Bombyx mori: one gene and its partner. The main gene of each other region encodes a partner of the protein of the gene in region 2 in a complex. Links are inferred from orthologs where the notes say so. Each region holds a gene or a part of one and is shown on either strand. Other genes may lie near its edges.

Region 1 (2,608 bases), on a different chromosome or scaffold from region 2:
CAAAAAAAAAATGTAATATGTCCTAACTTAACCTTTTGATGTGTCTGCATGAGGGATTCGAACTCCTGCAATTCTGACCGTCGAATTATACGATCTAAATACATTTTCTCTAGAATAGAATACGCCGGCAGCTGTTGGCACCGCTCATCTTTGAACAATGTTGCTAGCATTCTGGATCTCTGTTGTCCTGTAACATTTTAGATAAAAGACATTACTTTTTAATACGCTTTTATTAGCTTCAGACGTATGTAGGTATGTTAGTATGTAACGGAATCTTTGAACATGATATTGACCCCCTTGAAAACGTCGGATTAACTCGAAATTTGGTATACTTATTAATTAAGGACCGATGACAATTCGATATTTAAAAAAAAATTGAATTAAATTGTAATTCAACTAAAAAATGAAAAATAAATAATAGTTTAAAAAAACTAAACAAATACGCTTTTATAGAAAAACATTTTACACGCTTTTTTTTACAATAAAATTATTGATATTGATATATAATTATTGATATATAAATTATTGATTATTATTAATAAAACATTTTTTCTTACACTATGTTTAATTCAAATTTCTTAAAATGTATTTTCTATTTTTTTGTTGGATTTTCTATAAAAGCGTGTTTTGTTAGTTTTTTTTAATTATTTAAATATTAAATTTAAAATAAATTTAAATTACTTTGACGAATATTAACTACTCCTACAGCTGCTCCTATTTCTCACTAGTATAGGAAAAGCCTGCGCATAGAAAATCCCACCACTCTACCTTGATCTACCGCGATATAATCACGCGTTCCAGTTAGGGAGAATTTTTGATACATTCCTGCTACGCTGTGAGAGTGTCCTAATGTTATGTGGGCGCTTATTAATGAAAGATTAATGTATTCGAAAACTGTAAAGTATTTTTGAGGTGTTGATTAAATTATCATTCGGTAAATAAAGATAACTCTAACAAAGCACCATAAAATTGTTGACACTGGTATGACTACTTAACAGTAGAAATGGATATTAAAAAGACTAGCATGTCTAATGAAATGAAAAAAAATGCACCATTTTTTATGTAGTGACTTAGACTTAGACTGTAGTGACTTAAATGTTCTGATCTGAAGCTGTGGTCTTATTACAAAAATATTGTGTAATATAATCAATGTGTCAATGTCTTATCGATTTTCTATTTTTGCAGCCCAACAATCTTAGCATTACATTGAAATCAATTACCAGCAGATGCCAACACGGTGCATATAAGGGCATTCCTGAGGCACGTCATCCGCTCGTCCTCGTGGATAATGTTACGATATGACAATTCATTGTACCTTTGAGCCGCTTCGATGAATTTCCTAAAACAAACCAATTTTTATTTCTTTTTGTTTATGTTGCAATGTCGAGAATTGCGAATGTCTCACTTTTTTTTTTCCTACCTAATCTGATAGCCTTGAGAGGCTATTTCAACGTAACCTTAACTAGTAGGTGAGCTGACGGGGCTCAAACCTGACGACGTTGCTAACACGAACCCTAGCAAGAGCAGTGCTTAGCAGAATCTACCACGGTGTCGGAAACGCGACCCACTGAGAAGATCCGGCGAGAAACTCAGTGGGCTGTGTCTGAGGGTTAATTTACTCGTCGAGCCCTTCGTCGCAAGCGACGGGTTCGACGCGTTCCCGCTTGAATGCCTTGAGACACGAAATTAAAGTCTCAGTTGTTAATAACGTTTCACCCTTTCAGCTGGACATAGTTGCATCGCTTCGATGATAGATTTTGCGAATGTAGTGTTCGCTCAGTGACCAGTACCTAAACTACTCCCACAAAATTTTACAATTTCTCTTTTTAGGTTAACCCTCGAAGCTAAGGTGAGCAATGTGGATCTTCACAATGATCTGGGTGTCGAACGCATTGGTAAGTACACCGCGCGCCTTATCCTTTAGATCACGACTTTTTTTATTGCATATTTGAATGGACGAGCTCACAGCCCACCTGGTGTTAAGTGGTTACCGTAGTCCATTAACATCTACAACATAAATGCGCCACCCACCTTGATATATAAGTTCTAAGGTCTGAACTATAGTTACAACGGCTGCCCCGACCTTCAAACCGAAACGCATTACTACTTCACGGCAGAAATAGGCAGGGTGGTGGTACCTACTCGCGCGGACTCACAAGAGGTCCTACCATCAGTAAAAACTTCTTGCAATACCTTCATATTTATGAATTTCTGTATTTAAAATTTATCAGATTGACTATTAAGAACTGTATTGGCATCATTTGAAACACAATAAAAACACGTCACATCTAAAGATTTAGAAGTAATGGCCCTTTTTTTTAAACCTAAATTGTTGCTGACAAAACTATTCAGCGGTATAAAATATATACCTTCTATAATCTAAAACTCTTGCATAGCAAACTTTGTAATATATCTGCAGTTGCTCGTTGGTTGTTTCGGCCTGTAGCAATGAGGCTCTGTTGACGAATGCCTCAGCTTGCACCGGATCGTCCACTTCAAGGTACAGTCTGGCTATCTTTAGGTACGTTTCCAGTTTGTAATCAACTGAATATTGTCTAAAAATGAAATTTTAAATATAATCAAGAGGTCATGTTCTTTTTTTATTTCA
Region 2 (4,508 bases):
CCCTGCTGATGTCTGATAGCCTTCTGTTTCTGATGATTAGCTCTCTGTATGTGTTGATCTACAGAATTGAGTACTGCTTCACAAGCATTGCACCAGTCGGCCAGGACATCAGCAATGGAAGCTGCATCTTCAAGCCGCGCATCTCTGCCAAGGGCCACGTCCACTTCCACACGTTTACATTCCTGGTCCAACTTGCCGTGAATTATGTCTATGGAAGTATAGTATGTAAATTATTTCCAATTATCGTGCGAGTGGTCTATTGTAACAGTAAAATAGTTCAACATCATGTATGTATATTCAAATCGTCAAGGTATTCTACTCCTAATGAGTTTATACTGTATATCTATATATTGTTATATTGTGCATATTTAAAAAAATATCTTTTAACTAATAAGTACACTGCGGTTAATTTATTTCCTCATGTGATTCTTGTCCACTTCATGGTTATCTGGAATAGAATCCTCTTGACAATAAGACTGCCCATTCTACTTTTGTGTGATGTATGTTTTGTATTTATGTTTATATTGATGTAAAATAAAGAATACACACTATCTGTCTAATGAGGTTTTTATTGAACTTAATTTTATACAAGTAATAATTAAAAGGAATGCATTGTTAATTAGTTGCCATGGTCATAATGAGAAGTGCAAAAATGCTATTTTTAGAAAGTAATTGTTTATTGATGTTTGCTTGCTATATTCACATTCAGATTTATTTGTTTCCCTACAACTACTTACTACCACATGGAATAGATTGATCTCCCCTTCTACGAAGGTAAAAACAAAATAAAATAGTAAAAGAAAAATCAAAATAAATATATGCTTATATGGATAAATAAAAGGATGTTAAACTGTTTTCAGGGCATACAAACTCAAACAGGGAACATAACATTGACTTACTAAGCATAAGTACTTGTAATTATAAGGTAAACCAATAGTTATATTGTAAAACCTCAAATTGTAATTGAATTTTTTATGATAAAACTTTTTTTTTAATTAAGTAATTTTTTTATTGCTTAGATGGGTGGACGAGCTCACAGCCCACCTGGTGTTAAGTGGTTACTGGAGCCCATAGACATCTACAACGTAGACGCCACCCACCTTGAGATACAAGTTCTAAAGTTTCAGTATAGTTAAAACGGCTACCCCACCCTTCAAACCGAAACGCATTACTGCTTCACGGCAGAAATAGGCAGGGCGGTGGTAGATATCCGCGCGCACTCACAAGTGGTCCTACCACCAGTAATTACGCAAATTATAATTTTGCCGGGTTTGATTTTTATTACACTATGTTATTCTTTTACCGTGGAAATCAATCGTGAACATTTGTTGAGTACATATTTCATTAGAAAAATTGGTCCCGCCTGCGAGATTCGAACACCTTTGCATCGCTTCAACATGAATTAACCGGACGTCTTATCCTTTAGGCCACGACGACTTCATACCAACTTTATTCCACTAAGATGCATTAAATTATCTGAAGACATAATAGTAGGGCTCATGGCTCATGTCATTGTAGCATCAGTTTCCTATTTGTATTGGTAGCTAAATTCATTTAAGATTTAATGATTTTTTTTTATATGGACACTTTAGAAGTTATGCTTATTTAGTGTATATGTATTCTTTATCAATGCACATTTTATATATGTGGCTTTAATCTATATAAAACATGAACTAAATAAATTAGATACTACATCAAATTCGGCACTGAATTGTTTTCTCATATACACCACAAGAATAACTCGAAAAAGAAAAAAACAAGGTATAAAATGCATGTAGTCAAACTTGAATTTTAATACTGTTTTATGAATCAACAACTCTGACACTTTTTTTATTAGGGACTGTTTGTATATACACTATAGTAGGAAAATCAACTCACCTGCATAAATAGCTTCAATGATAAGATCTTCTAAATCTCTAACATTTTTAATATCCAATTCCTCAAGTAACACACTGTAAGGGATACATTTCTCTTGTGTTGCAAGTGTTGCAATGGTCAGATGCTGTAATTTCTTGCACTGGACTGTGGTTAATTCTAAATAGTCCGATTTGTTCTCAATGTAGTCCTTATATGTGCCATAGGCAAACAAATTAAGAGTTTTTAAATGAGTTGCATAAGGTCCACTCTCCAGCTGAAAAATACAATAAAATGAATTTTAACAAGAGCGCCAAATTGATTTCTACCCATAGAATTCGGACAGTTTCATACATTTAATGGTTAAAAATGTATTAGAATTAATTGATCGATATAAAGGTAAGTTTTCTAACCTCTTTAATATTTGGCATCTCTAATAGCTCGCCGAAAACATGCACTCCTGGAGCCTCCAGAACCTGTTTGATGAGTTCAGCGCACGCAGAACCTTTAGCTCCCTTTGCTAAAAGGACAAACTGTTCTAGAGGGTGATTGGAGGAAAATGATAACAATGAGGAAGGTTCATCTCGGTCCATTGACATCGGATTCATTTTGAATTTTAAGACGTCTATGTCTATTTCATAAACGGGAAATAGGTCAATTCTATATTGAATCTATATGTTAGGGAAAAAGTATCAAACTCAGATTTAAGGTTTAAACTGTTATATTTATGTACCTACCTAGGTAGGTAGGTATTTTATACTTTCTTTGGTAATTTTAAGTTGACAGTGACAGTTGATGACAGGCTGTTTCTACATTTATATTGCTAGCTGTTGATACTTTAATATTATTATTATTATACATAACGAACGGATGTATTTATTTGTAGGTTTAGTTTACTTCAAATTTGAAATCTATCATAAAATATGTATTCAATTTCCATAAAGAACATGATGGTGGCAGATTATACTTAAATCTATGAAAAGTCAGGTACTTGAGTTCTTGAAGAGCTTGTCTTAATTAGTAATATTGCAAAGAAGTCAGACTATGAGTGCATAAATTTATTACCTATGTATCAAGTAACTAAGATAAATTAAAAAATACCCCAAGAATATTGACATTTCATGTAAAGAATGTGGTGTAATTAAATCACGTAATTTTTGTTAGTTCTAAAGCGTTTAGGATGAAAAATTCAGCCAATTTAAATAGAAATTAATTCAAAAGTAGAACAGTATGCAGAGAAGTACATTTATTCATAATACCAAAAATCTTTTAGTGAAACTACAGCTTTGATTGATTAGTTATAGGGCTTAAAAAATAAACTAATTTCAAGAATTTTATAAAGTTTGTCTTTGACAAAAAAAAAACTAGAAATTTAAAAGTTTATGCTTCAGTTTTCAAATGACCATAAATAATAAAATGGCGTCAGGTTTTTTGTGTGTGCGATAAATTAATTGTTTTCATAAAAATCTGGATTTTCTCCAATTTTTTTTGACATACGAAAGTGTTTTTTATTTTATATGTAATTATGAAGCTTATAAATGCATATATGACTTCTAATAACGTACTATTTATTGTAAATAATGTGCGTGTCAATGTTCGTTGAAGCGTCGTTGTTCTGGGCCGCCTTTTATATTGGGTTGATTAAACTAATTTAGATGTCGTCTAAAGTTAAGATTCATCGTTATTTACACAGAACACCATCACAAGTTGTAAATTAGTGTTGTTTTCGCTTGATATTCGGCGTCGCTGTCAATGAGTGCGTTTTGCGTGTGTGGTTGTGAGGTCGTACATACATGTTCGCAATGATAAAACTGTCATGAGGACTGTTTACTATCAAATAGTGAATCTGTGTTAGTGCGTTTACATTTCTATGTAGTGAAGTTTATATTGTGGTGAAAATGTGTATGCCAACACCGAACAATGTTTCGGGTTTCGGTTATTCTTGGGGCTTTACGAGTTCCGCGGACCTTACCAAGGGCGATGTCGAAACTCCGAGCAGCCTCAGTTATTCGCTTGGGAGTACGGTAAGGTCTAAATAAAATAAATTAAATAACTGAAGCACTTTAGAGTAAACATTTATTGTGCACTTTAATTTCAAAGTGCATCCTCTCAAAGTTTTAACCATAAGCAAGATTGAATGAAATTAACAACAATCAGCTTTCACTTGAAGTAAATTTTCTAGTTATTTTAATATTTAGCAACAAAAAAAAGCTATTATGAAATTGTGTACTTATATGTGCTATTTTGTTTCAAAATAGGTTTCATTTCAGTAAAGACTTAAAATCATTTTATAAATAAAAACAAATAATCAACAATAAATAAAACATTTCAGGTGTCTCCAGAGACAACACTCACTGTTATGTCTCACAAGACACCGCAAGTCCAAGATAAAGTGGGTGCTGTTGCTGTGGCAGTATCCAACTCGGGGGCTCAAGTCACAAGGGTTGTCACAGCAGGAGCTCCGGTGACGGCCAGGAGAGCTATGTTTGTTCTGAATGAAGCTCCAACCCATACTATAAACAGGGTTTCACAACAAAACCAAACAGCGACAATACATAGTGGGTATTATTAACTGTTTTAAGGCTTACAATCGCTTACTAGTCAGCTTTTTGCTTATTTAGCATTAATTGCTTAAATTCAAATTAAATTTTAAT

Evidence for each region.
Region 1: COP9 signalosome complex subunit 7b (region 2) and COP9 signalosome complex subunit 4 share a complex: the UniProt entries of both Drosophila melanogaster proteins name them as parts of the CSN complex. The link is inferred for Bombyx mori from reciprocal best matches to the Drosophila melanogaster genes CSN7 and CSN4.

What each region holds. Positions count from the first base shown.
Region 1 is NC_085109.1:10,720,773-10,723,380, reverse strand, and holds part of COP9 signalosome complex subunit 4, read right to left. Parts: intron 2,556-2,608; coding exon 2,370-2,555; intron 1,340-2,369; coding exon 1,221-1,339; intron 188-1,220; coding exon 33-187; intron 1-32. UniProt on the Drosophila melanogaster protein: Component of the COP9 signalosome complex (CSN), a complex involved in various cellular and developmental processes.
Region 2 is NC_085114.1:3,666,901-3,671,408, forward strand, and holds the start of COP9 signalosome complex subunit 7b, read right to left. Parts: upstream 2,855-4,508; 5' UTR 2,463-2,854; coding exon 2,268-2,462; intron 2,132-2,267; coding exon 1,879-2,131; intron 209-1,878; coding exon 1-208. Other genes in the region: zinc finger protein 615, read left to right, coding at 3,753-3,878, 4,187-4,412. UniProt on the Drosophila melanogaster protein: Component of the COP9 signalosome complex (CSN), a complex involved in various cellular and developmental processes.